Linked DNA regions of Notamacropus eugenii. The protein of the gene in region 2 purifies or fractionates together with the protein of the main gene of each other region. This does not show direct contact. Links are inferred from orthologs where the notes say so. Each region holds a gene or a part of one and is shown on either strand. Other genes may lie near its edges. The genes, in order: VPS33A, PLEKHM1, VPS39 and VPS41.

Region 1 (7,339 bases), on a different chromosome or scaffold from region 2:
AAATGGGGATAATAACAGCACCTACCACTCAGGGTTGTGAAAATAAAGTGACATGTTTTTAAAGACACACAGGAGGTGCTTAATAAATGCTTAAATTAAATAAATGCTTAAATTAAATAAATGCTTATTCCCTTCCCTTTCCTCTTGATAACAACCACACTGAAATCCTCTTTTAAACGCTTTATGTTACACTTTGTGACACTAACGTGCTTGATTTAATGTAGCAGTAAATCCAACTAATCAACGATGTTGTAACTAGAGGGAGCCTCTGATTAAACTATTCAGCAAGCCTCTGAAAGATTCCTTCCTTCTGTGTTCTCCTTTCCTTTTTTCCAACTGATGACTCCCAATACATGTTAACATTCAGTTAAATCAGTGTTGACCAAGGGTCTGTGATGTGCGTGGTCCTGTGAGAACAGAATGAAAAACAGCCCCTGATCTACGGAGCAGGGATATCACTGTCTCCGTCAAAATTATTATTCCTCCCCATGAAAGAGATCAGCCCAGTATCCCAAGGGCTACAGGGAAGCCTCTGTAAACAGGAGGATCTCATTTTTGCTCTAGAAATGCTTTGCTTACTTTCTCTTGTGAAACATAAGTAGAGCCTCATTTCCTCTAAAAGGGCAGACTGGGTTTAGGAAACAAATACAACACGGGATCTGGGCAAGAGTGCTCTGCCTCCCAGTGGCCTTGAAAGTGTTTTAAGTGCCCTGGGTCTCAGGCTCCTCCTCTGGACTTTCGATGAGGGCGCTGGCTCACCAATGTCCCTTCCAACTCTAAATCTTGTAATCTGATCTTTTAGGTCCTCGTGGAAGGTTCCTTTCAGTCGACAGATTCATCTTTCCTCCTCCTTTTGCCCCTGCCCAACCCCTAGTCGGCCCAGGAGAGCCTGCCTCATACCTTTAAAAGGGGCCACACAGAGGGCCCAATTTACTATTTCCTACTTAATGCCTTGTTGAGGAGGCAGCATGGGACAGAGACCCTAAAGCCCTGGCTTCAGATCAAGCAGGAGGCTCTAGATTCAAATCCTGCTTCTGGAGGTTGGACTGGACACCCTCCAAGGTCCTTGCCAACTATAGCCTATGGTACTACTTCCCCCACTGAAGGTTTTCCTCCAAGAATCTCCTGATCGATGCAGTGAGGGAGTTGTACTAGATGACCCCTAATGTCCATCTCTAACATTCTAGGCATTCCCAGTAGCAAAAGTTCCCAGCTCTAACGTTCTAGGCTCAGTTCTCTTCTAGCCTGGCCACCCTTCCACCCTATCCATTTTTCTATGACAGCCACCTCACATTCTGAATGTAATCCATACTCCATCCACACTCTTCTTCAAAAGCTGGAATGTAAGAATTAAACACCATTTTAGTTTTAAATAAATTTAAGATTTTTCCTCCTTAGATACCTGAGTACATTTTCAGCAATTATATCCATCAATTCTAGCCTGGGTCTGACAAAAAAAATAATGTTCTTGACATCAGCTGCAGGCAGTCGACTTCCTTTAAGTGTGAACATTTTTTCCACCTCATGTTCCTGTGGAAAAGACAAAAGTTGTAACTGAAGACGTGGATTTGAAATTGAACATTCAATTCATCAAACACTTAAAAAAGCACTTGCTTTTAAGGAGCTTAGCACCATATAGGTGTAATTGTAAAGTACCGAGAAAAAAGGGGAGCTAGGTGGCATCACAGTGCAGAGAGCACTGGGCCTACAGTCAAGAAGACTCCTCTTCTTGAGTTCAAATCCAGCCTCTGACGCTTCCTAGCTGGGTGACTCTGAGCAAGTCACTTCACCGCTTGCCTCAGTTTCCTCAACTGTAAGATGAGCTGAAGTAAGAAAGAGCAAACCACTCCAGGAACGGGGTCACGGTGAGTGGGACACAGCTCAAGGAGACAATAACAAATCATAATATGCAGGACATGTGTGTGATGGTTAGAAAGGATGAGGCTGGATATGAGCTGCATCAGCACCTCCAGTCACAGAGGGGTCTCAAAGTGACAGCTCCAGGAGTTCACACAGGAGGCCAGCCCCTGCCCCAGCCCCTGCCCCTGCCCCAGGAGGCCAGCGCCAGCCCCATTCCCTGCCCCTGCCCCAGCGCCAGCCCCATTCCCTGCCCCTGCCCCTGTCCCAGCCCCTGCCCCTGCCCCAGCCCCAGCCCCTGACCCTGACCCTGTCCCAGCCCCTGCCCCTGCCCCCCACTCTATCTTCTTTACCTTCAACAGCGAGTACTGCGCGATCAGCCCAAAGGGCCCCGTGAGGTGTTCATCCCAAACTATGGCCTGCAAAGAGTAGAGTCAGTGACCACCTGGGAAGCGCTGGGGGCGGCCGGCAGGCCCCCGGAAGGCCGGTCTGGGCCCCAAGAAGGGAGGCAAACACCTGCTGCAAACGTCACAGGTTTAAGCTCTCAACAACCACCCAAAATTCTACCGGCGTCACATGGGTGTTCTGCGTCCTCCCGCCCGGGCCCAATTTCGTCGGACTCAAAACCCTTGGGGTCCTGTTTGCACCAGACGCCCTGGGAAAAGCGCTTATCGCGAAGGCTCTGACAATGGTGCACCTGGCGGCGGGCCGGCCTAGGGCACCCGCCCGGCCCCCCCACCCCCGTTAGTGCTGTCGGTCAGAAGCCGAAGGATGTCGAGAAGCTTCGGGGGAAGGCATGCCCATGACCTCGGGGTCCTCAGTTTCCCCTCCGCGCCCGCCCGGGCCTCACCTTGCTGCCCGCGCACTTGTCCAGGAACTCGCGCAGCTCCCTCCGCACCGCCTCGCGCAGCACGTTCAGGTTCACACGCCCGTAGGACAGGTGAGCCGCCATCCTGCAGCGGCACCTCCCCTGTCCTCCCCTCCCCTCCCCGCGCCCGACGGCCCTCAGCGCGCACCGAAGCAGCAGTCAGCTGATCGCGCCTCCGCGCACGTGACGCGCGACAGGCGGAGCCGGAAATGCCCGGGCCACAGGGGCGCCACCGCCTCTGAGCATGCGCACGGGGAGCGCGCATCGGCTCCCGGCAGCCCCTGCGTGTTCCGGGGCGGCCCCCTCCCTCCCGGGAGCTCCGAGGCGGAGGCCGAGTCACGGCTGTTCCTGAACCCTGGTTTCTTTTCCCCCCTCCCAGCGTCCTGCCCGGGGGGTCTCCAGGGAAGCGGCGGAAGTGCGAGGCATCAAGCGCTTCGGGAGCCTGACGTAACACGCCTGGGAACCTCTGGGCCTCAGTTTCCTCTCCTGTCTAGCGAGGCCGTGCACGTGCAGCCCCCGCCAGCCTCCCGTCAGTCCCAGCAGGGAGCGGGGCCGGGCGTCACGTGGCCTGCCGATGGGCGTGCCCCGGAAGTGAGGGGGAAGGAGGAATCCCGCCTCCAGATGGGTGCCCGCGGAGAGCCCCGCCGGGAGCACGCCACTGCCGCCCCCTCTTTCCAGCCGAGGAAACTGAGGCAGACAGGGCGGATCCCGCGGCTGCGAAGCGTCCGCGGCAGGATTTGAACTCGGGCCGCCTGACTCCAGCCGCCACCTTTTCCCTAGGTTCAAAGTGTAAAAAAGGCCTAAGGCCTCCGTCTGCGGCTTCGCTGTGGGAGGCCCTGCCCTTGCTACCTGCGCCTCTTTGGAAAGGTTGCTTTCCGCGCGCTTGAGTTTCTCCGTCTACCCACCTAACCTCGGTCCCATTAAATTCGTGTCTGGACGTGACGTGACTGGAGAGGAGGGGACGGAGAAGCTGGTGTCAGTCCCGGATTGTAGGTACCAGGGTGGCTGCCACAAAGAGCTGGGAATCCAGGCCCTGGAACGCAGCTGCTGTCAGGATCTGGGAGCACAGGTTGGATGCGCCAGGACAGACAGAAAGACAGAACAACCAGCCCTGTGTTTTGGGGCCATGAGCCTCTCAGAGAGGAAGAAGGTCCTCAGGCTGGCCATTAGCCTTGTTTCCCTCTACAGAACAGGCTCATCCTGGTCCCACTGAGGGATGGAGTCACCAAAGAGTCGTACACTGGATTTTACTGAAGCTGGAACAGTTCTGCTGTATTGTCCTATTTTAAATTTTGTGACAAGCATTTCTTTATAAAGATGAAACTTTGGGAAACAGTAAAGGAGAGTTGGAGATTACCCACAAGATTTGGTAGAATCTGGAAAACGCCCTGTGTGACCTTGGGCATGTCACCACAATTCTCTCTGTTCTCATTTGTAAAATGAAAGAGTCCAATGAGTGACTTCTGAGCCCTCCTAGTCCTAAATGTTATGATCTCATGAACACTGGCTTATTCTTTTTAATTTCCATGTTAGATTTTTTCATTTTAGTTAGAAAACCCTATTTTGAAATCTACATTAGCAGAAGTGTTCAACTAGTACTGAAAAACCCTATAAAACCTATTTTGAAATCTACGTTAGCAGAAGTGTTCAATTTGTACCAAAATCCACTTATTTCAACAGTTGTTCTCTAAGATAATGGGATCACAGATTTAGAGTGATTCCCTCGTCTGGAGCCAGTAGAAGAAATCTAATCCTTCCTGCACATGACAGCCTTTCAGATGCTTGAAGATAACTATCATATTCCCCCTCTGCATCTTTTCTAGGCTAAAGAACCCAGTTCCTTCAACCCATCCTCATAACTCTTCACCATTCCACTTACCCTTATTTGGACTCTTCTCTGGTTCATCAATGTCCTTCTGAAACTGATGTTTAGAACTACACATACAACTAACTACCTATGAGGTCTGACAGAGACAGAGAGTTCAGTGGGGCTCTCACTTCACCATTCCTGGAAATGGTGCCCTTCTCAATGCAGCATAAGATCCCATTAGTATTTTTGGTGATGCCCACCATACTACTGACTTATGAGGAGCTTGCACTCCACTAAATCTCCCAAGTCTTTTTCAGCATAAGGGATGAGCCGTTGTGCCTCCTTCCCACCCATCCTCCATCTTGTACCTGTGAATTTGACAGTAGACACTGCCAGAAATACCTCAGATTCATGACGTTTGATTTTTTTAAATTAATTTTGGTCATTTTGCATTCAGAAACCTTTTATTGTTGGCAAAATTTTCTAGACCCCACATGGGGTCATGACCCACAATTTAAGAAGTGCTGCTTTATCCTCTCAAGATCCATTTGGATCTTATCTGTCCTTCCCATATTGGAGTCCTCTGCCTGTTTGGTGAACTTCATGCCTTTATCCAAGTCACTGATACAAATAAGAAATAACAGCAGAACAAGCACAGGTTTCTGGAATATTCTACCACTAGCTATTCTTAAATCTGGCCATCCAGCAAGTTCTAAATTTACCTGATTATTGTCCCATCTCTATCTTTCCATCTTCTGCACAAGGACAGTATGAAAACGTTTATCAGAAGCTTCTAGGTCAACTATATCCATCATTCCCTTCAGTCTGGTTGCTGTTTGTACTTCATTCTGCAAGAGAACTGATGACATCTAATGTCTTCACTTGCTCATGAATCAGATTTAAGTGAGGTAAAGCTATGCAAGGTCCTCAGCCTCCCTGTCTCCAGAGTTATGAGTCCAGTGGCAAGACCACTAGCAAAGAAAGTGGTTGTAACAAAAAGCCAGAGTTGCCTTTATCAAGAGTGGGTCCTAGCAAAGTAATCTCTTTTTTTGGACAGGGTTTTTTAATTAGTCAGTCAGGAGAATTTAATATAGTTTGCCTAGATTTTAGCAAAGCACTTGATGAAGTATCACATACTATTCTTGTGGAAAAGATGAAGAGGAGTGGACTAGTAAGCAATCAGATGGTTCAGCACTGGGTGAAGATTTCCAGTGTCAGGCCCCAGGGATCTCTCTGTTTGGCCCTGTGCTATTTAAGACTTTGATGAGTGATTTGGATAAATGTGTAGAAAACATCAAACTTGCTGGTGCCATATATAGCTGTAATAGGTAGATGAGTCAGAAGCCCAAAAGAACTTGACTGTCTAGCATCAGAACTAGATCAAAAAAGATAGGGAGGGATAAATGTAAAGTCTTCTCCCTAGGTTCAAAAAAATCAACTTACAAGTGCAAGATGGAGGCATGGCTAAATAGCAGTTTGTGGTGGATTGTAATGTGAACACTAAGCAAGCAGCCCCCAAAAGGTAAGATCCTGGGCTGTGTTGAGAGAGAGATCTTTCAGGCAGGAATAAACAAGTTGTGTTGTTTTCAGTTTTGGACCCTGATGTTTCAGGACACAAATAAAGTGGATCCAGCATCCAGAGTCCCACCAGCATCAAGAGCCTACTCCATGCTAGGCACCAGGGCTGCAAATAGAAAGAATGAAAACTGTGGCTACTTTCAAGGGGCTTATGTTCTAATAGTCATAATGTTCTTAGGTTCACACAGCTAGCTAGTATCACGTGTCTGTCTGAGGCCATTTTTGAACTCAGATCCTCCTGATTTCAGGGCCAGTGTTCAATCCACTTCACCACCTAGCTGCCCCCAGAACTGTTTCTTAAAGGAAGAGAGGATTCCATGAGGAGGAGGTAAGGAGAGAGTACATTCCAGGTATGGGGAAAGACCAGAGATGATTCCATGAGATCAGCTGAAAGAAATGAGCACATTTGGTCTGCAAAATATCCCTTAGTGGAGGCATGATAGCTATCTCGCAGTATTTGATGGGTGTGTTAGATCCGATTCTAGTCCTTTTTAACCCCTCTTACAGATCTGAAGTGCTAAGCCTTCATGAATATTAACATTCCCAGTATCCAGAGTGCTCTAGTCTAGACAAGTGGTATGAAACTCAAATAGAATCTCTGCTGCCTGCATGAGGACCAACTTAGAAAACCACAAATGATTGTTATCTATGTTGTATTTTTATTTATTTTTAACATTTCCCAATTACATTTTGACTTATTTCAGGCTATACTCAAGTTTTTGCTGATCCTAAGTTTGACACCTCTGCTTTCTGGGTCAGCAGTTTAATTAAATTAAAGCTATGAACAAACTTTTATCATCTTTGTTCAAGCTCATGGCCACCTGCGCATCTAATGCCATCCTCCTAGCAAAGGCCAGGCAATTTAGACTGATCTCATGTCCATATTAGTTGGTTAGTCTATGCTGTGTAGATTTTTTAAAATAATTTTTTATTGCTGTCTAGTTTTTCACAGAATCTCTCTCCCCTGTCTCCTTCCAGAGAGCCATCCTATGTAACAGATACTGTTGGAAGGTGGTGAAGAGACAGAGAGAAATCAGTACAACATATTATGAGTAGAGTGAAAAAGTCCCACAACATGCTTGTGTGCACCACCTGTGAACCTCACTCAGTGAACAAGTGGGTGGGGAAGTGTTTCTCCTGTCTCTTTGAGTCTTTGCTGGAGCTACGCAATTTTGCTAGAATCACTTGATTTTTTGCTAGATGGTTCTTTCAATTTACATTGCTGT
Region 2 (7,317 bases):
CATGCAAAGTATTTGATGACACCTGCCATACCAGTGATTGAGACAAGGGATAATTTAGCCAGAAACACAAATTCTAGGACTAAGCAGATAAGGACTAAAGATTGGTCAAATGATAAAGCCAGAGTCCAGTTATGGGAGTTTTGACTTTTCTGGACCTAATCAGAGACAGAGCTGGGGTGGACAGCAAACTTAAGGGACTTATAAGCTAGGATCAGAGCAAGTGTATAAGTAAATAGGAGTTCGGGGTACAGGAGAATCAAGAAGTTTGTAAAACAGAGAGATGAGAAAGGCAAGGCTTAGCAGGTAAAACTGGCCAGACTGACAAAATAGGGCAAGATGGGACTGTCTTAGGTTAGGACCCTGGGTCTAGGTCAGCAGTCACATAAATTGATTCTTTTTATTTATTTCGAATATATTTATATATGTCCTTGTTGTCTCCTCCATTAGAATTTAAGTTCCTGGTGAGTAGGGATTGTTTCATTCTTTATATTTGTATCTACACTGACTAGCACAAAGTCGGAATGTAACAGAATTTTGTTAATTGACCAACCAATCTGACACAGAGGTTGGAAGGAGAGTCAACAGATTCAGTAGTAACTGAAGTGCTGTAAGTAGTGTTGGGGCCTGGAGACAGTGATCTGAAAAAGAAGTCCTAACCAGGAGCAGGGCTAAGTAAGAGGTGGGGAGTCTGGACCAAAAAAAGACCAACCCCCTTTAAACTCCTCTGAAACATTTGGCACTGCTGCTGACTACCCTCTCCTAGATATTCTTTCCTTGAACTTTCTGTTTTCCTATTCTCTCTTGGTTCTTTCCACTGACAGTCTGACAGTTTCAATATATCACACAAATCTGTCTACTGGATTTTTATCGAAGTCAAATCCAGTAAGTGTGGTTGTACATTAAGTTTTTTTTTCTTTATACTCACTTGGTGATCCCTCAGCTCACATGAGTTCAATTATTATCTATATGCAGATAAATACACGCACGCACGCACGCACACACACACACACCCGATAGTCCTAGACCTTCTACTACACCACCTATTAGATATTTTGAACTGGAGCTCAAATTCAACAAGCCCAAAATAGAATTGTTTCTCTTTTCTCTCAAAACGACTTCTTTTCTGAACTGCCCTAATACTGTACAGGGCAATACCATCCTTCATGTCACCCAGGTTTGCAACCTCAATGCCACGCTTTTGTTGTTATTTTTCAGTCTATACAGTTGTGCCTAACTCTTAGTGACCATATTGAGGATTTTCTTGGCAAAGGTACTGGAGTGGTTTGTCATTTCCTTCACCTGCTCATTTTACAGAGGAGGAAACTGAGGCAAACAGGGTTAAGTGACTTGCCCAGGGTCACACAGTCAGGAAGTGTCTGAGGCCAGATCTTCCTGAGTTCAGATGAGTCCTCCTGACTCCAGGATTGGCACTCTATCCACTGGATCACCTAGCTGCCCCAATGTCATGCTAGACTCCCTCCTTCTCACTCACCCTCTTATATCCAATCAACTAACAAAATCTGTTATCTCTATCCACACAGCATCTCAGGCATAAGACACCCCCCTCCTTTTTTCACAAGCACCACACAAGTTCAGCCCTTCATCACCTCTTACTTGAAAAAATATTGCAGTACTTTCTAATGAGTCTCCCTGCTTCACTTCTCTCCCCTCTCCATACTGTTGTTAAAAGTGATTTTTCTAAAGTGCAGGTCTGATCATATAACTGCCCTATCCCAAAGTCCCCAAATTCTTCACTTCTTACGACTTCTAGGATCAAATACAACACCCGATTTGGCATTTAATTCTCTATAACCTGGTCTCTTTTAATCTTCCTATTTTTCTTACGTTAATCATAGCTAGCATTCACATGGGCCACAAGAACCCTATGAGAAAAGGTGCTACTGTCATCCACATTTGACAGATGAGGACACGGAGGTTAACTGACTTGCCCAGAGTTATATGGCAAGCATGAGGCAGGATCTGAACTCCAGATCCAGTCCTATCCACCATGCCACCTAGGTGGCTTTGGTCATTACCTTTACCCCAAAAAGGCGCCCCCCTCCAAACTTGCCTTTTCCTGGAGAGGGCATCACTACATTCCGATCACCCAAGCTCCCAAGCTCGATGTCATCCTCTCCTCCTCCCCTGTCCCACATGTCCAATCCATCAGCTGCCCCACTCCACCAAGCCCACAGTCCAAGCCGAAGGGCCCGTCTCTGTGCCTTCTCACCTCAGCCTCCTGGAACTCCTCAAGTTGCCCCTGCACGGGGGCTTCCCAGCCCAGTCCTGTCCTGTCCTGCCCAGCCCAGCCCAGCCCCAGCCCCCCGAAGCAGGCGCCTCTGCGTCCATCTCCCCGTTAGAACGCGAACTCCTCCAGAGGAAGGCCGGCCTCTGCGTGCCCCCTCCCCCCACGGTACCCCGGCGCTTAGCGCTTAATAAATGCTTGGCGATGGAGTGATCTGAATGGGAGAGTGGAGAACCGTGTGTGGCGGGTCAGGTTCGGAGGCTGAAACGGGGGGGTCTGACGGGTCGGGCAGAAAGCCTCGAGGGGACGCATTAGCGGGAAGAGTTGGGGGGGGGCTGAAGCAGGGGAAGGAGGAAGACGTGGGAAAGGGGGAGCCGAGGGCTTAAGAGAGCTGAAGGGAGGGATCGCGGTGAGGAGGTGGTGATGGGCTAGGGGGCAGGGAGGCCGGTCCAGGGTGGGAAATCTGGGGGAGGGGGCGTGGTGGGGACGAGCGTCAGGTGGGGGCAAGGGCACGGGCGTGCGGGGACGGCCCGGGGGGTCCTGGAGGAGGGTCCGGGAGGGGGGCGAGAGGGGCAAGCGGGATGGGGGGTCTGGGACACGGACCTTCTCTGGGACCCGGTCTGAGTTCCCTCCATCCCCGACCGCTGCCTCACGGGGACCCCAGACTCACCTCAGGGTAGACGAAGAGCACTAGAACTGCCTCCAGACTCTACCCTTGCGCCTCTGACCGGAAGCTGCGGCCTCCCGGGCAGAGAAAACAGGAAGCTGCTCCGGCCGCTGATGACGCCATCACGTCAGCCTGGAGTGAGCCCCGCCCCCTGTCCCGTGTAGCCAATCCCCGGCCTCGAGGTCCCGTGGGGGTGGGGCTTGTGGCTCGGGAGACCGCACGTGGAGGTGGCACACTCGGGTCGGGACTGCGGCTAGGGGCCGGTTATTACGCTAACCATTTGTCAGCCCCTGGGCAGGGAGACCCTGCGGAAAGGGCTCGTCTGGCGCACTCCTGCGGACTGGCTCGGCCCAGCGGCCGCTTGGAGCCGAAAGTCCCCCAGCCTCTGTTCCCGACCCTCTTTTAGGACCTCAGTTTCCTTGTGTTCAGATGACGGGGCTGGACCCACCAACCAACCTTAACTGATGTAACGCCTTAGAGAAGCAGCCCGGTGCGGTGGCTGGGAGTGCCGGCCTCAACGCTAGGAAAGGCCTGGGTTCGAGTCCCACCTGTGACACGTCCTGACAGGGTGACCCTGGAGAAGACGCTTAATAACTCACTGTGTGTGTGTGTGTGTGTGTGTGTGTGTGAATGGATAGAGAGGGACTAGATCTTTGCGATTTCATTGGTACAGGGAATATATATATATGTGTACACATATGTGTGTGTATATATATGTGTGTGTGTGTATATATATATATATATACCAAGGGTCAAGACAACAAGCATTTATTAAGCGCCTACTGTATGCCAAGCACTGTGTGAGACAAAGAAAAGCAAAATAAAACCAAAAACAGACTCACTCTCCCGAGTCAAATGGGAGAGAGGACAAACAGCTTACAAAGAAAATACAGGACAAAGTAGAGATAATCTTATTAAAGAAGGAGCTTTTAAAGGTTCTCTTTTCTTGTTTTGCAGTTTAAAAAGCCCAGCCCTTGCAACCATCATAGTCAAGTAAAACAAATGGACTCCTTTGGCAGCCTGGCGTAGACTTTGGAACTCTTCTCAGAATGTTTTTAAATGCATAAAATAAAATATACAGGCATAGAAAGGAAACTAGTGTTGAAATCAAAATATTTTTCAAAAGCAAGTTCATGGACCCCCAAGTTAAGAACCCTTGATGTATGTTGATTAAGTTGCCGAGATGGTGCTGTCCAGCATCAGTTGAGAGAGTTTGCTCTTGTTGGAGTTCCCTGTACCAATGAAATAGCAAAGATCTAGTCCCTCTCTTTATCCTTAACAATTTACAAGCATCCATTAACAATGTTGCGATCCCCATTTTAAGTGACTTGCCCAAGGTCACACATTTTTTAAGTCCAAGTGATCAGGTGAGCCCGAATCTTTTTTTATTTTTAATTAAGTGCTCTTTTTACACTACTGAGAGAAATGATAACTAAATAACCAATTATTGGAGAGATGCAGGGTTTTTTTTCCTTCCTATTTCCTCATTCTCTACTAGGTCAAATCCTTGCCTTGCCTTTCCACATAGGGTGTCATACATATCCTTACCTGCTGGTGCTTGTGCAAAGGAATATAAATTTTGATTGCTGAAACCTTCTAAGACATCTTGGGGTTTACAGGCTAGATTTCTTTCTTAAGGACCATGCCTTAAACCCAAATCACTGTGGTTCTCATTGATTGGCCAATTGATCCTAGCCCAAGCCCATGGAATCATTGTTTGGGCCCTGATTGCTCAGGGTGAATGTAAATAGCAATTGTTTCTGTTTGACCCAGAAACCCTGAGGGTATTCTCTTCCCAGAGATATATACATAGTACTATTGAGGTTCAGGAGTGCTAGGGACCCCAAAATACCGACAGGCTGGGTCCTGCTTGTATGAATTCGACTCAAGCCTTCTTAAAGCCAAAGAAAGACAAAGTTTATTAAAGATTCGCCATATTGGGTTGACTATTAAGGAGCCTAAGAATTTGTAATGCTTGTATTCACAAGCAGGCCAGATAGAATCTCAACGAGACAGAGTCTGAGCTGGATTGAATCTGAGCGCCTTCATGGAGGCAAGATGGAACTTAAATACAGAAAAGACTGTAGGAAGGATCTGGGGGTGGTCTGGTAGTCTAGGGTGATGGGAGGAGGGGTTTAGGGAGGGTCTTAAGGAGAAGTCCAAGAAGGACTTCAGTGTGACTGGCTGGGGTGACTGATCAAGGGTTGGAAACAGCTGGAAGAAATCAGGAGATATCAGACAATGGAGGGCTTGGGTGGGAAGCAGGTGGAACAATCCGGAGGTAACAGACAATGGAAGGCCAGGCTTGGCCAAGGGCAACAGATTTGAATATGAAAGGCCAGATTAAGTGGGTAGATTCAAGGGAAGTTCAGGGAGGTTCCCAGAGTCTGAATCCTCTCAGTACTATACACATGTATGTGAGTGTATATGTTATACATTGTTGACCTAAGAACTTGGTTAAAGAAAAGGCAACAGGCTAAATGCATACATTTTATGATTTAATTAATTAATTAATCAATTCCCTATTAAAGAAAACGGTAACATAATGCATTATGGAGCCAGAAATGTTCTGGCTACTGATACAAAGAATTGGGCAGCCTTAAATATGTTTTTAGGACAAAGAAGTGTTGTGTGTCCTTCAGATTTATGATCTCCATGAGTGATTAACTAGACCATTAGAAAGGAATTTCTTAATTGCATAGGTTGTAAATACAATAAGACAACAAAGTTTGACAAAGTTTCACATAGAAATTACAACCCAAGATGTCTGTGTTTTCTTTATCATTAACATGCCATAACATAGTATATGTTGATAATGTTTAATATAACATTTTGGAATAATCTCTTTGTTCTCTCTGAAGCAAACTCAGAGAATGCCTCTTCCTGTGTCGGCAGAGGCCAGCCAGGGCTGACTCTGCATTCCTTGGAGACCTTTAACCTATGACATATCTTGAATAATGGGACTTTCCTTTGTATCTTATTATCTATAGACACATACTATGTTATGACATATTAATGGTAAAGAAAAAATAGGCATCCTGGGTTTCTATTGAACATTGTTTGCCCTTTCCTGTGTCAGTTATCTGTTTGGGGCAGGAAGCCTGCCACTTACTAGTGGTGGGATTTCCTTACCACCTGGGACATATGTTTACCCAGCTTGGAATCTCAAGATTTGACTGACATTGCTTTGTTAATTGTCTTGTCTTACTGAATTTATGATTTGCTTAATTAGGAGAGTTTCCTTCTCATGGCAAAATGTACTTAAGACAGATGTTTTCTGTACTAGGTAGTCAGAGTCACCTCTGACTCCATAGTGCTATGTAACTGTTTTCTTTATGGGGAATTGATCAATTAATTAATTAAATCATAAAATGTATGCATTCAGCCTGTTGCCTTCTTTAACCAAGTTTTCAGGTCAACAATGTCTACAAATATTAAGATATGGAAAACGTCCCATTATTCAAGATAGTGTCTTAGGTTAAAGGTCTCTTAAGGAATGTTAAGTCAGCCCTGGCTGGCTTTTGTTGACATGGGAAGAGGCATTCTCTGAGTTTGCTTCAGAGATGATAATGTTTAATATAAAATTTTGGAATAGTCTCTTTGTTCTCTCTGAAGCAAACTCAGAGAGTGCCTCTTCCTATGTCAGCAAAAGCCAGCCAAGGCTGACTCTACATTCCTTAAGGAGACCTTTAACCTAAGACACTATCTTGAATAATGGGACGTTTTCCATATCTTAATATTTGTAGACCTACACTATGTTATGGCATGTTAATGGTAAAGAAAACACAGACATCTTAGGTCGTAATTTCTATTGAACTTTGTTTACCCTTTCCTATGTCAGTTATCTGTTTAGGGCAGGAAGCCTGCCACTTACTAGTGGTGGGATTTCCTTACCACCTGGGACATATGTTTACCCAGCTTGGAATCTCAAGACTTGACTGACATTGCTTTGTTAATTGTCCTGTCTTACTGAATTTATGATTTGTTCAACTAGGAGAGTTCCTTTCTCACGGCAAAATGTATATAAGCCAGAAGATTTCTGCACTGGGTAGCCAGAACATTTCTGGCTCCATAATGCATTATGTTACCGTTGTCTTTAATAGGGAATTGATTAATTAATTAAATCATAAAATGTATGCATTTAGCCATGTTGCCTTTTCTTAACAAAGTTCTTGGTCAACAGAGAGAACAAAGAGATTATTCCAAAATTTTATATTAAACATTATCAGCATACATATACACACATATAGGTACTGTCGACCTGAAAGTTTGGTTAAGAAAAAGGCGACAGGCTAAATGCATACATTTTTATTATTCCCATTAAAGTAACAATTACTTGGATCCACATCCACGGAGCCAGGAAAACTCCTAGCTGCTCAGTACAGGAATGGTCAGGCTTAAATCT
Region 3 (7,083 bases), on a different chromosome or scaffold from region 2:
CTGAAGCCTGGACCTGTTTTTGACTACTATCCTGGGACTTCAAAAATGTTGGTGGAGAAAAGAGACAAGACCCAAAAAGAAGGCACTGGGATAGCCTTGAAGAGAATCCAGCACCTTGGAAAAAATAATATTAGCATCAAATATTTCTGTTAACAGCTTGGAAAGAATGCTCCAAATCACTATGAGTAAGGAAAGGCAAATCATTACCATCCTGAGGTTTTATCTCAGACTTTGCAAACTGCCAAGATGACAAAAGGTGGGAAAAGTCAATGTTGGAGGGATTGACGGGTGTACTAATATACTGTTAATAGCACCCTGACTTAGTACAGCTATTCTGAGAAGAAGTTTGAAATTATACAACTCCAGTGCCTAAAACGTCCATGAAATTTGACCCTGAGATTCCACAGCTAAGCATATAACCCAAGAAGGTCACTGACGAAAAAGAAAGGCTCTAAGTACACCAAAATATTTATAGCAGCATTTTTTGTAGTAGCAAAGAACTGGAAACAAAGTTAATACCCATCAACTGAGGAATGGCTACACAAATTGTGGTATATGAATGTAATGGACTATGACTGTTCTGTAAGGAATGACAAACATGATGAATACAGAGAAGCATGGAAAGATTTATATGAACTGATGCAAACCGAAGTAAGCAAAGTCAGGAAAATAAGATAATGACTACAACAACGTAGAACAACTGAAACTGAATATTGCAACGTTATAATCAATAAGAATGGCCCTAAGGAAAAAAAAAGGAAGATATATTCCTGCTTAGAACACTGTGTATGTTTTCAATGTGTTAAACTTTTGTTTTTCTCTTCTAATCTTTAAAAAAAAAAAAAACAGGAGCAGAGAATGGCTCCGGGGGAAATGCAGGTGATGTAAGAAAAGGTATCAATAAAAAGCTACATAAAAAAAAGAAAGAAAAAGACTAAGTTTTGTGGAGTCCTCTAAATCAGGGCCAGCCCAAAACTGGGCTCATTCTAATAAGCTAATTCTCCCAGATCAGGAGAGGTCACTCACAGAGTGGAGGGATTAATTATTTTTAAAGATATTCTGTAGGGATATGTAGAGGTTGAATGTATGTATATCTCACTAGCTGAATGCCAGGTGGCAGAGCAAACTTTTAGGTTTGATGGTTCTTCAAAAGCCATAAGGAAAGTCCAAAAAACCATAGTCCACAAAATTTCCCAGCCTTTCCCACAGTTGGTGGTATCATAGCAACACTGCCTCATAAAGCAGTGAGCAAGCAAAATAATATTTTAATAACATACTGTCCTGTTTTCCACCTCTACTAAAATGTTCCCTTGATCAAGGATCAAAGAAGTTACAAAATAAGGGTATAGGTCAGAGTAGTAGATAGTATTCTTCAGGGACTGAAACTATCTGGTCACTCTTTTACTTGGGATTTCTTAAGGTAAACCATATCTCTCTCAAACCAAACTCAGATAGGAGTTTCATGTGATCTAATGTTCCTTGGAAAGAAGAAAAAGTACATTCACATGACTTTGTCAATCTGCCTTACATTCTTGTAAGAAAGTTCAGCGTGTCAGTTAGCTGTACCCTTGGAAAACCTGAGGCAGACTGAATGTAAGTTATAAATCAAGTCAATGACAAAACTATGGAGGAGACAGTGTGATAGTGTGCGTGTGTATGTGTGTAAAATGGTTATGGAGAGCCCTAAACGTGCTGGGCATTCACCTTCATCATATAACATGACCCTTTCCCTCCTAGAAGTCAAGATTCTAAAGCAGTATACTTCCTATACCATATTTACTAGGTATCGCTCATATACAAAGCACACACTCTATTAATATGTTGTCCTTGCTGTCCTAAACTTAATGGTGAGAGACCGCAGTTTCAGAAATATTTTTATAGTAGGTGGGATCCTCTCTTGACCCCCCAAATTTGGATCAGCTTCTTAAACGATGCCTGATTTCAAGGAAAGTACAACACTTGTGAAGGCAAGCTTGTAAGGTACAGGTAGAATAATGGAGCAGAAGGGATGACAGCAAATCTGCTTAGGTGCCGGGTCAGGTTTTTCCACCGGATGATTTCACATCTGCCGACGGACACTCATTTCACTCAGCCCCAATGCGACTCTAACGTTAAAAACTTTCAAGTTAATGGAATTGTCCAAATTCACCCCAACTCATCCGTTATCAGTTGTCCGGCTACGGCTTTCATCCACCCGTGGGCAGGTTCAGCCTGGCCATGGCCGAAGACGCTGGGCTTTCTTTAGGAAGGGTGGATGTCACTCTACCATTCCCCAAGCTACACGTGCGGGTCTGAGTTTGGTCTGCCCCATCGCAAGGCACGGACACGGACACGGACACGAAGGGCTGACTCTGCCTGTTTTTGCGTTCGTATCCCCAGAAGTGACCCCCAGTAAACACCTTAACCAAGGGTTTTCATTGGCTTCCTCGGCTCGGCGAAGCCAGTCTACATCACCCAGGCCCGGATCTTTGCCCCGCTCCCGGGCTACCCCCAGGACCACTTGGGGCAACCCTTCCAACACCGAAGCCGGGCTGCGCAGGGCTACGGGCCGGGCCTGGCTCTGTCCCGCAAGGGGCCTTCCGGAGCTCTAGGCCGGGGGAGGGACGCGCCCCACAGCAGCCCGCGGGGTGCGGAGCTCGGCGCCTCCGGGTGCTACGGGGACGTCACCCCCGCGCCCGGGTCCGCGGCCCTGCGCCCGCACGACGGGGCGACGCCGGCTCCGCTCGCGGTCTCCCCCACGGCGGGCCCCCCCCACAGGCCCAGCCGCACGCACGCAGACGCACACATACACGCACGCTCACACACGCACACTCACTCACAGACACACAGATACACAGACACACAGACACGCGCACACGCCCGCCCCCCTCCTCTCACCCCAGGCCGCCAGACAGTCGATCTGCAGCGGCAGCTTCTCCAGGATCGGCACCGGCTCGAAGGCGTCATGCATGGCGGCGGGGGGACCCGCGTCGCCGCGGCCGGGGCGTGAGCAGCGATCTTGGGATCCGGGGCCACGGGGACGAACCCTGGGCCTTGACGGCCTTGGGGGAGGCGGAGGCGGGGACGGAGGCGGCGGCGACAGCTCCAAACTTCCTGCTCCGACGGCGATGACACGCCCCTTCCGCCGCCGAGGCCCCGCCCCTTCCGCCAGAGCGCCCGCCTCCTAAACCCCGAGGCACCATCGCGGTCACTGCTGCGTCCCGCGCGCTCGGCAGTCTCCGTAGTCCCGGGACTCTTGCCTTTTTCGGAGTCACGGACCCCTTTGTCGGCCTAGTGAAGCCCATGGTCACCTTCTGAGAAGAGCGGCCCTTTTCTTATCGTCGGAAATGATAAATACCACTCTAAAGTTAGTGACAAATGAGGGTCATTGTCCGTCCCCCATCCAAGCGCGGTGTGCCGGGGTTCGAGGGGGCTGCGAGGACGGCGGGCCCCGCCCCGCCCCCAGCAGGCCCCCCCCCCGTGGAGACCAGGGGGCCCCGCCCCGCCCCCAGCAGGCCCCCCCCGTGGAGACCAGGGGGCCCCGCCCCGCCCCCAGCAGGCCCCCCCCCCCGTGGAGACCAGGGGGCCCCGCCCCGCCCCCAGCAGGCCCCCCCCGTGGAGACCAGGGGGCCCCGCCCCGCCCCCAAGAGGCCCCCCCCGTGGAGACCAGGGGGCCCCGCCCCGCCCCCAGCAGGCCCCCCCCCCGTGGAGACCAGGGGGCCCCTCCCTGTCCTCTTCTGCACCTTCTCCACCCGCAGTCAGTTCTGCCCGAGGCCTCTGGCTCCGGGGCCTGGGTGAGGGGCGCGCCCTCCGCGGCGTGGGTCACCCGGGGGTTCCCTCACTGCTACGTTCGAGGCCCCCCAAATTCCCTCCTCTTTGCTGAGGTTTCCACGCAGGTCCTGGGCCTAGACGTAATCTGAACGTGGCCGGCCTTCACCCACAACACCAGTTTAAAGAGAAGGTGGAAGCGCCTAAAAGTTCGGAGTGGAGGAGGGATTTCTGGACTCGGTGCCAAGAAACAGGAATTTCCAGTTGGATTGGGCGCGCATTGATCAGGGGCCTGTGCGCCCCAGGCTCGGAGGGGCAGCCCCCGCGGGGTGGCCCAGGTGCAGCACGTCCGGCCCCACCCCACCCCCAAGGAGTCAGGGTCGATCCTGATCATAACTGCTGCAGGTGGCACGCGGTTACCCACTTCCAGTAACGCAAAGACTGTCCCTGAGGTGTGGCCTTGGGCCCCCCGGCAGACTTCCGGCTGGTGCCCCTCAAAGCCATGGCACAGCCAGCATCAGTACCAAACACGGTAACTGCTTGGGGAGCTAACCCGGGAGGGCGGCCAGGCTTCACCTCTGGTACTTGAGTTCTGCCCGTGAAACTTGGGGCAGTCTGTACAAAACTTTTTTAGGAGGAGGCTCTCTGACCAGCAGTTTTCCAGTCTAGGAAGCAATCAACGGGTGTGGAAATGAACATTTTCCCCATAACAGAGGGTACAAGACTTTTGGAAATAGGTGATTAAAAAAAAATTTGAAAAAAAATCAGAAATGTTTTGACTTTAAGGTTTTTAATATTAAAAAGTGGCATGAACTTTTTGTATTTAGAACAGAAATCCGTAACTTGGGAAGGCAAAAGTTGAGAAAACTGTTAGAACAGAATGGAGTTCTTTAAGTGATTTCTAATTCAGCAACTCCCCTTGTGGACGCCTCTAACCACTCCTAACCAACCCCAGAAACAGGAACAGTTCACCCTAGTGTGTCCTACCCCGTACAGGGATATTCAACCAAGCTGGAAGGACCTGCCTCCTTTATAATCAGCTGTCCTCTTCATATCCTCTCAGGTGGAAGGAAAGCCTCTGCACCTGCTGCAATACCAGGGGAACATCTACTACCCTGTGATGCCAGAGCAGACAAAGCATTGCATAGGAGATAGCAATGCAGCACTCAGAGGCTGTCGGAGCAGTAGTTCAAAGTTCTCAGGTGTGCACCACATTGCCAGCAACGGGGTGTGTCACAACAGCAGACATCAAAAGAGTTTTAAGCTAATATTTTCTCTCTAAATTACATCTGAAATAGAAAAAATCTTTAATATACACCATTTTGTAAACAAAATTGCACTTGATTTTGCTTTTAAAAAATGATCTGAATCCCACTGTTAACATTTTCAAATCTTTCTATTTTTTGGTACTTTTAATCACTGATAGTACTGGGGACTCCTTAACTCAAAGGGGCCCGTTTCATCTCCCAACTAGCTCTGCAAGGTGTAACATTTGCTCCTCAGGAATCTGAAGGATAATGAACAACTTTCCCCATCACCTCTCCAAAAAAATAAATAAAATCAGAGGCAGTTGCTTCTGGGCATTACACATTGTGGACTTTGTCCCTTTGGTGTTAAAATTTCAGTCTGACAAATTAAATCGCTGAAACAATACATGTGGTTTGCTTAAACATCCAAGTCAGGGATTTGGAGTGGCAGAGGGGGAACTGTAAATCAGGACCTTTTTATGAGGAATTGTTATTCTGTGACCTGTTTCCCAATGGGATGCTCGTCTGGTTGCAACGCCTCTCTCTCACAAGGAACAGATCAGGGGGTTCCACTGCCTTCTTTCAGCCAGTGGAGCAGCAGCAGAAGTCTGACACAAATGCTGATCTCTTCCCTGACGCTAACAAGCTCTGCCCTGAAAACTTTCCATTCTTCATTCCATTTTGGATCTTTCAAAGTGCGTGATCATTCTTTCCTAGGGCAAAAAAAGGATTATTTTTAGAGGGGCCATGGTTTCTTGTTCAAAATTTTTCTTCTTTAGATTAGGCATGTTGATATTTTAATATGTACACATTTTAGAACATACGTCCACCATAAGGAACAGCATGAAGTAGGAACTCTATTTTCCATTGACAGTTTTAATAGCTGAATGACACCGTACCTTTTTAATAAGTAGAGATGATTGCTAAGTAGTGTGCAGTTATTTCAGGCAAAAAGCACAAAGATGAGAGAGACTGGCAAAGCCAGGGCTGTCATATGCACGTAAACTTATCTGCAATTGTACCAAAGGTTATGTCCCTCTAGTTCCAGCCCTTAAGGGCAGTGCTGCCCTGGCAGGTGAGCAGAGGTCAGAAGTTTGCTAAAGAAACAAACTTCGGGTACAGGATTAGCTTGGATGGCTGTCTGAGAGGACTAGGAACTTGCCACTATAATAGTCTATACACAAGTCCTAGAATGCTGGATGTTTGGTAGACTCAATTCTAGAGGCCAGAAAGAGGTACAGGGCTCATATTTGTAGGCTGTTTGTTCTCAGTTTACACCAACAAGGAAATTGGGAAAAAAGAGAAATCAAGGAATTTGTCTATTATCATACAGTAATTAGAAAAGACAAAAAAAAAATCTGCCCATGATCTAGTCCATCAAAATGACCTTGACAGCTTCCCAGAAATCAAAAAGGACCAAGCTTACACATTACTAGAACATTCAATATCCAGACTGCAAAAATTAACTAACACAAAGAAAATTAAACCTACTCTAGTCAATTACTTACAATGTATTGAATAATGGCATGAATAACCAGACAGTTAAAAATCCCATTTGCTTTTGATGTGCTACATTATTTTTGTGGCTGTTTAATTTTCCTTATTAAATTTAGCTTTAATATTAAAATTAATTTAATTAATTTAGTATTAATAGATTAATTAATTTAATATGAAAATCATTTGTATTTCCTGAACACATCAGGTGAAAGTCATCTAGGGAGGACATTAGTAAAGAGGGAGGAGTTAGGTTGGCCATATATAATTTACACAAAGATGTAGATTGGTTCTGTAACTTTTCAAGAGACACATATTTACATCAATGTTTGGGGGACTGGGGGAAACCTGAACACTTGAAAGTTATATTTTTATTATGTCTTGCATTCCATACTTTTTTATTACTGCCTTAACAATAGTTCTCTAGGACATTAGGTAAACAAAGTCAAAGTAATCTCCTTAATGAGGCTTGCACGTTCTAAGATCAGAGAATTTACTTTAAAAAGTTTGCTTACTGACCTCATCGGAATCTAGAAGGGCTGGAAGTGCTCTGTAGAAGAAAAAAGACACCAACAGTCAGAGAACGTGATGCTTT
Region 4 (7,904 bases), on a different chromosome or scaffold from region 2:
ATTAAAAAGTATAATGTGTTTATAAAGTACCTTTCAAATGTTAAGGCACTCTATAAAGGTCAATAATTACTACTGTTGTTATAATTTCATCATTATTTACAGAAAAAATAAAGGCAAAGATGGGGAAAAAAACTACTGCCCATTCCTTTCATCAATTTTTGTTGTTATTTGGTTGTTTTTCAGTTGTATCTGACTCTTCATGACCCCATTTGGGGTTTTCTTGGCAGAGATACTGAAATAGCTTGCCATTTCCTTCTCCCAAACATTTTTGCACATGAGAAAACTGAGGTAAACAGGATTAATTGACTTGCCCAAGGTTGCAAAGCTGGGAAGTGTCTGAGGTCAGATTTGAACCCAGGAAAACGAGTCTTCCTAATTCCAACACTCTGTCCACTGCAAAATCTAGTTACTAATTAATTGAACATTTATCAGCACCCGTTGTGTGCTGAGCACTGTGTGCTGGGGTGCTGGGGCAATACAAAGTGTAGGTAAGTTATGACACTGCCTTCATATGAGCTTACAATTTATATGGTTTTCTTTAGTTCTGCTATTGATTTGTATAAAAATGGGTAGTAGGAATGTATAAGCTTAAAAGATGTAAGATGAATATGTTTAAGCTAAAACATTCCAATATATTAATAACTTGTTAAGCAAAATAATAATCATCCTAATAGCTCACTTTCTGAAGGATTTCATACTCATAGTCTCATTTGCTAGGCAGCCTAAGAGTGAGAAGAGAGATGGATTTGGAGTCAAAGGACTGGATTTGAACTCATATTTTGCTTCTTATTATCTCTGTTACCTTTGTTAAGTCTTTCAACATCCCTTGGCCTCAATTTCCCTACATGCAGAAGGAGAGGATTATACCAGACATTTAAGATTTCTGTTTTAAATCTATGATACTATGATTCTCAAAACCACCTTTGAAATTCATACACATATGATTCTCCATATTTTACAAATAAACTCACTCTTAGTGAAGAAAAGTGACTTGCTCAGTCATACATCTAGAAGTGTCTGAAGTGAGATGTAGTCTGAAATATTCCTGATTCAATTTGGAGCATGGCACCCAACAAAAGAGACCCAAGTGATGCTAAAAACTTATCTAACATGGTTTGCTGTGATTGAAGAGGACAATCTGAGCCCTGGAAAGATTATTTTAGGATTTCCTCCTTCCTATGACCTTTGCGGTAGTTTCAGTCATGTCCAACTGTTCATGACTCCATTTGGGATTTTTCTTGACAGAGATTCTGGAAGGGTTTGCTATTTCCTTTTCCAGCTCATTTTATAGATGAAAAACTGAGGAAAACAGGGTTAAGTGACTTGCCAAAAATCACATGCCTAGGAAGATTTAAAATGAATCCAAATTTAAATTCAAGGTGAGTCTTCTTGACTCCAGTCCCCGCACTTTCTCCTTTTTATCCCCTCCATCACCTAACAACTAGGTTTGCCTGAACAACTGAACAACAAGAACTTTCTCACCCCCACTGAACCAATACTAAGATTTTATGTCTTATTTTTAGGGCTCCAGACTTCCCTTCTTCCCTTCCTCTATGGAGTATGCTCAAAGACACCATTCCTTGTTCCAATGAGCATGTGAAATCTTGGTGAATGTGCTAATTTCTACCATGGTGACTTCTCAATTCAATCTTTTGGGGATAAAAAAAACTTGGCATTTTAGCATGGCATGATAAATCTGTGAGCGGTGCCTTGATTTTCCTCCATCTCCTTGGCAGTATTGGTGGTGGGATATTATATTAGTTAAGGGACCTCTCCTAGTTTTGAATCTCCTGCACAGGTCATGGGTGGGGTGTGGGGAGTTGGAGGTACTCTGTTTCTACACTCTGTACCACCCTCATATGGGACATTAATTCACCAGGAGCACTTGTTCCTAGGTCATCATCATCAGACTTTTCTGCTTTAGGAATCCTTCCCTGTGTAGGTGATGGAATATCAACCTCTGAATGGATATATCTAAGTTTGATGGCAACCTTGAGAGTCTGAGACATCTACAGGCCTGAGGTTCCATTAGTTTGGAGCTGGATGGCAATAGGGAAAGCTTCTATACAACAGAAGATGATCACTGACTATAAAAAATTTAGCATTTGTAGAGTAATAGGGAAGAGAGATTTTTAGATTTAGAGACCACAGTATCTCAGTGCTATAAGGGATTTTGTAGCATGTGGTCCAGTTAGAGGTCTAGCTCTAATTTTCTCTTGAGTTCAAATAAGTATTCTTTCCTTTTTTCATACCATTTTTGTCTAGATCTTTTAGCCTAGTTATCTTACCACTTCTCCTCAAATACCTAATAGATGGTGTAGTGGTTAGAGCCCGAATTAAAAAAAGCATGATTTAAAATCCTGACAGACACTTACTTAGTAGTTGTCTGACCTACGTAAGTCAATTTTCTTTCTCAGACTCCTCTGTAAAGTAAGGGTAACAATAATAGCTACCTCACAGAGTTGTTGAGAGAATCAAATGAGGTAATATATTTAAAATGATTTGCATTCCTAAAAGCGTTATATTAAATCAATGTAAAAGTTGTTACTTTTGCAGTTTTTTGAGCCCTGGTATAGAAGTATTAGTTTGTATTCATTAAGTTTCACCTCACCAGATCTGATTGATCATTCTCGTTTGTTGAGATATATCTTTTTTTTCTGGACTCTATCATGCGCTGTATCATCCAAGCTCCCCAGTTTTGTGTAATTTATAAATTTAATAAAGATATCTCCATTGTTTTTCTCCTAATCATTAGTCAAATGTTGAACAACACAGAAAGAAGAAGAAATCCATGGGGCACTTTACTAGGGACCTACTTCAACTGACCTTGACCTATTAATGGTCCATTTATTCAACCACTTCCAAGTACATGCAGATGCCTTATCATCTTACCTACATCTCTCAGTTCTGTTTACAAGGTTGAATGAAACGTTTTAGTGCAAAATTTGCTGAAATGTAGGCATACCTAATATTCAACATTTCCTATGATGCTTTCAAAAAATGGAATGAAGTTAGTCCATGATCATACATACCTGATGGAAGGTAATTTTTAAAGAAATAGAGTGGGTGTGATATTGGCTAGCATTTACATAGTGCCTTAAAATTTGCAAAGCACTTCAGAAATATCTCACTTGATCCTCTCAACAATTCATTTTTTAGGTGATTAAATTGAAGTATACAGAGATTAAATTATTTGCCCAAGTTCATGCACTTACTAAATGACTGGATTTGATCAGGATCAGGTCTTCCTTACTCCAAGAACAGTCATCACCCCCACCTCCTCCTCCCACTGTACCATCTAGATAAGAGTTCAGCAGAACTTTCTAGGGAAGAACAAAGCAGGATAGCATCATGGGAGGAGTAGGGCTGGTAGCAGGCGGTAGCAGGATTTCCTTTGGGATCAGGAAAAGCGGAGGAATTTGCATCTTGTATTATTTATCTTATTCTCTAAAACCTTTCAAAGATCATTTACAGCTCTGAAATCATTGTCTATTAGTGGGTTTTTTTCCCTAGTACCATGGATATGGTTTGTTTTGGCCTGGTAACTTGAATCTTTGAGGACAACTAAGTGTTGTTGTTCAGTTGTTTTTCAGAGCTGTCCAAATTTTTATGACCCTATTCTTGGCAAAGCCACAGGAGTGGTTTTCCACTTCCTTCTCCAGCTCATTTTACAGATGAGGAAACTGAGGCAAATAGGGTGAAGTGACTTTCCCAGAGTCACATAGCTAGTAAGTGTCTGAGGCCAGATTTGAACTCAGGAAAAGGAGTCTTCCTGACTCTATGCCTGATACTATGGGAGGTTGAGCTACCATGGGAGATGGCCAACCCCCTTCCCAACTAGAAAGCATAGGTAGGATAAACATTTTGATGGATATTGTAGAAATTATTGTTATAGCGAATAGCTTGAACTAAATGAGATCGCTTAAACTTTTGAGTCTGTGATGGTCAGGTCATTTAGCTGAGTTCATACTTGAGCTGAATCCTCATGTAAAACATCTCTGACTAGTGATCATCCAGCTGTTGCTCACAGACCTCTACTGATGAATTTTTCACTAGCTTTTCAGCCCATTCCATTTTTAGGCAGCACTAATTTCTCAGTTAAGAAGTACTTTTACTCCCCTACTATAGGCTGGATGGTTTTCTAGGTGCTGAGAATAGAGAGAAACAAGTGAAGTAATCCTTGTCCTCAAGATTCTTACATCTCACTGGGACGCCATGTGTACCTAAATGGGTAAACGACGCACACAAAAGAAATATAACGTGATTTTGTGGGATATCAAAAAGAATTCATGTAGATGGTGGGTTTGTTGAGAGTTTTAAAAACATTTTCTTCCCTGGTGAAGCAGTGGGAAGGCATCCACTTTTCGGGAGCTCGGAACACTCGGAGAGCAGTCTCCTGGGCAGCTCCGTCAGAAGCTGGACAGCTCCTCGACAGCTCCTCGAGAGGGCGGAGCTGCTTCAAACTCCATTTCCCAGCATGCATTGTGTCTCCGAGTCCGTAATATCCTATACGTCACTTCCGGAAGCGTCCACGTGATATTGCCGGCAGCACCATGGCAGAAGCAGAGGAGAAGGTGGGTATTTAGGCAGTTGATGGGGGTGTGGCGGGGGGGGGGGGGGGCGGGTGGCCTTGTTCAGGGATCTGCGTTGGGTGAAGTGCGGCGGGGACATTGAGGCAGGTGGGGAGCTCACCCGTGTTTGCCGGGTGCTGCCCCCGTGGTCATTATAAAGCCATTTCGGGGAGGTGAAGAGCGAAGGCACGCCGGGCATGGGGCACAGCTGATGCAAAGACTCCGAGGCCAGAGATGCACTCCCGTGCTGAGATGTCGGCGCCGGCAGTAGCCAGAGTGCCATTGACAGGAGGAAAGAGGGAGTGATTTCGTTCTCCTGGTAGAGCATCTATGTCCAAACATGGGAGCGCTGGGGTGCTTCAGGAACAGGGCAAGGTGTGAAGGGTTTGGGATAGGTGTCTGTGTGCCGAAGGGCATAGAAAGGCAGCCTGGAGTAATGGGTAGAGTCCGGGACTTGGGGCCAAGATCTGGATTCAAATTCTGCCTCTGGCCTTCATTAGCCGGGTGACCCTGCTCAAGTCACCCGTAAAATGAGTAGTTTGGATTGGGTGATTGAAATCTAGAATCCAAGGAGAGTGTTCAGCTCCCATGGCCCTCCCACGAGAAGCTCACACAGATTAGGTGATCTTCAAAGTTACTTTGTATCTATCCTGTGTTACTTTCTATCTATCCTGTCATACTTTTTCTCCAGACTGGCTTTGTTGTTCGTGTATTTCTATATCCTCTCCCCCGCTACCGCTCCCCCGCCCATGCCTCCTGAGTAAATGAGGCCAGAGTTCTGAGGCAGAGGAAAGTTGGTCCTGGTGGAAGATGGTGCTCCTAGTTAGGGAAGGCTTCCAATTTTCACTTCCTGTCATTGCAAATCCAGATGCTGTTCCTGGTCCACTTTTTCTCCTTCTCTGTGACTTCGGTTCTTAGTGTCTGTCTGAGGTTTTGCTCCGTATTCCCCTGACATCTTCCTTGTGCCCCAGTCTGTCCTACCTACCTGACAGGTATCCCTCCTGTTGCCACCTTGCGGCCCTTGGAAGGAAGTCCCTGGCTTGATAGTGCACTCTCCTCACCAAATTATCTTAGATTACTTATTTGTTTAAAGGTTGTAGTTCTATAGAATGTAAATTCTGTCAGCTAAGAATTGATTTCCCTTTTATCTTTCAGAAGCCAACGGTTTCTTGCGCAGAGTAGGAGCTGCTGAATTTAATAGTTTTTTAAAAAATGATAATGATGCTTAAGAACTAGGTTAGCGTGAGAAAAATTTGTGCAAAATTTCTGGACAGCAACACTAATAACAAGTTTGGTTGTTGGTCAATTGTGTTTGACCCTCCATGACCCAGTTTGGGATTGTCTTGCCAAAGATACTGGCCTGCTTTACCATTTCCTTCTCCAGCTCATTTTACTAATGAGGAAACTGTAAACAGGGTGAAGTGACTTGCCCAGGGTCACACAGCTTGTTCATGTCTGAGGCCAGATTCGAGCTCAAGTCTCCCCGACTCCAGGCTTGGTGCTGTATCCACTGAACCACCTAGCTGCCTCCTTTAATTTGGAGTCCCCTTCATTTCTGCAGGTAATAGTTTTTGGTTCGTCAATACATTAGGTACCAAATGTTCACAAGTAAAATTGAAAGGTATAGTAAAGTGCTATAAATATGACTGGTCTTTCATTGGGGACTGAGGGGCAGGGAATAAGTATATATTTAACACCTACTATGTGCCAGTGCTAAATGTTCCACACGTATCTTCTCATTTGCTCTTCACTTGAAAGGCCACTTTGTTCTTTCTTATAAAAGTTGTCACTCTTTGTTTAAAGGGTTTCATGTTTGTCACCTTGAAGGTATGTAAGAAGGAAGTTTGTGAATGATCTGGTAGAAGAAGGGAGCTCTCTCCTGTCAAGTCTTAGTTTCTTCAACTGTAAAATGACTTGAGGCTCTATGACCCCTAAAGCTCCTTGGAGTCTCCCATCTCCCACAGGTCCATTCGTTCCCAGTGGGGAATATGAAGACCAATAAGACAACCTTGGGCCCCTCTTTGAATCCCCCTTCTTAATACCTGGGACCTTGGGCAAGTTAATTAATGTCCCTGGGCCTCTGTTTCCTAATTTGTAAAATGGAGGAGTGAGACTTCAGGCCTCTTACATTCCTTCTGTCTCCAGTTGTCCCCCTAAGATACAATGTGGATGTAAATAATAGTAATAGAAAGAAGGTGAGGCCCATGGGGCGTTCTGTGACTTCAGAGGATGGCCTGATCTTGTATACCTGAGGGGAGTCCCCCTACTCATAACTGCCATGTTAACAGTCCCAGGAGACAGGGTAAATCAGCCTTCCTGCCCCCACGTTGTCTGTTATCTCCTAGATAAAATACAATTTGCTCAGCTTTCTCTCCCACCTTCCTTTTCTCTCCAGTAGAATTTTAAACTCCTTGAGGTTAGGCCTTACTTTACTTTGTTAATTTCTTTTGTCTCTGTACCTCTATCCCCCCACCTCACTTCGAGTAGCGCTAAGGCCAGGAATATGCTCTTAACTGGGTGAAGGGAAGTGGAAGAGGTGCCCCTGGCAGGATGGTGTGGAGGATCCTGAAAGCTGAGGGAATGCTGTTTGGCTGGAGGAGAGGGTGTCCTGGGACCGGGCGAGGAGACTGCTTTGTAGGATGGGGTGTGCTCAGGGCACTGATGGGTTAGGAGGCTGCAAAACCATTTCCCATACTTCTCATGCTTCTCATGATGTTGAGCCTGTGGTGATGGCTGAATCCCAGGGATGTACCTTCTCATTTGTCAAAGAAAGATTAAATTGTGTTCTGTATAGCTTGAGTTAAGTTGTTGAAATTGGTAACCTGTGTTTGTTCCCAAGTGCAGTTAAGCTAGCGTGCGCTGGTTCAGTTGCTTGCTGTGTGGCAGGCACTATGTGAAGCATGCTCCAGATTTTATTTCATTTGATCTTCACAGTAACCCTGAGAGGCAGGTGCTGTTCTTGTCCCCATTTTACAGCTGGTTAAGTGTCTGAGTCAGCATTTGAACTCCAGGCCCTTCATCCTCTCCCTTGTGGTTCTCCTGGGTGCCATGGGATGAGGGTTAGGCAAAGGCAGTCCCTGCCTCAGGGAGCTCCTAGCCTAATGGGGCACAGTGCTGTGCTGAGTAACAGCTTCTGAGGTCGGCTGTCTGGCTGTGAAGTGTGTACCTTTCCCGGAGTGTTTGTGAAATGGAGTGTGATCCAGATGTTGAACCCAGAAGTCAGTTAGGAGCTGTCTGCAGCATTCCAGCTGTATCTGAGCCCTGTCCCACCATTGCCACTTAATCTTTTCACTTGAATTCAATATCTGTGCTACTGAAAATGGCTGGAGTGGA

The links.
Region 1: the proteins of PLEKHM1 (region 2) and VPS33A purify together in Homo sapiens (affinity purification with western blotting; 3 studies listed by BioGRID and IntAct, with this or other methods). This does not show direct contact. The link is inferred for Notamacropus eugenii from reciprocal best matches to the Homo sapiens genes PLEKHM1 and VPS33A.
Region 3: the proteins of PLEKHM1 (region 2) and VPS39 purify together in Homo sapiens (co-immunoprecipitation; 3 studies listed by BioGRID and IntAct, with this or other methods). This does not show direct contact. The link is inferred for Notamacropus eugenii from reciprocal best matches to the Homo sapiens genes PLEKHM1 and VPS39.
Region 4: the proteins of PLEKHM1 (region 2) and VPS41 purify together in Homo sapiens (affinity purification with western blotting; 4 studies listed by BioGRID and IntAct, with this or other methods). This does not show direct contact. The link is inferred for Notamacropus eugenii from reciprocal best matches to the Homo sapiens genes PLEKHM1 and VPS41.

The regions. Positions count from the first base shown.
Region 1 is NC_092875.1:37,522,665-37,530,003, forward strand, and holds the start of VPS33A (vacuolar protein sorting-associated protein 33A), read right to left. Parts: upstream 3,005-7,339; 5' UTR 2,810-3,004; coding exon 2,708-2,809; intron 2,277-2,707; coding exon 2,211-2,276; intron 1,531-2,210; coding exon 1,403-1,530; intron 1-1,402.
Region 2 is NC_092873.1:348,254,034-348,261,350, reverse strand, and holds the start of PLEKHM1 (pleckstrin homology domain-containing family M member 1), read right to left. Parts: upstream 3,005-7,317; 5' UTR 2,916-3,004; intron 1-2,915. UniProt on the Homo sapiens protein: Acts as a multivalent adapter protein that regulates Rab7-dependent and HOPS complex-dependent fusion events in the endolysosomal system and couples autophagic and the endocytic trafficking pathways.
Region 3 is NC_092878.1:28,617,033-28,624,115, forward strand, and holds the start of VPS39 (vam6/Vps39-like protein), read right to left. Parts: upstream 3,007-7,083; 5' UTR 2,951-3,006; coding exon 2,878-2,950; intron 1-2,877. Other genes in the region: TMEM87A (transmembrane protein 87A), read right to left, coding at 5,666-5,707, 7,008-7,038. UniProt on the Homo sapiens protein: Regulator of TGF-beta/activin signaling, inhibiting SMAD3- and activating SMAD2-dependent transcription.
Region 4 is NC_092874.1:480,214,689-480,222,592, reverse strand, and holds the start of VPS41 (vacuolar protein sorting-associated protein 41 homolog), read left to right. Parts: upstream 1-4,886; 5' UTR 4,887-4,901; coding exon 4,902-4,946; intron 4,947-7,904. UniProt on the Homo sapiens protein: Plays a role in vesicle-mediated protein trafficking to lysosomal compartments including the endocytic membrane transport and autophagic pathways. Acts as a component of the HOPS endosomal tethering complex.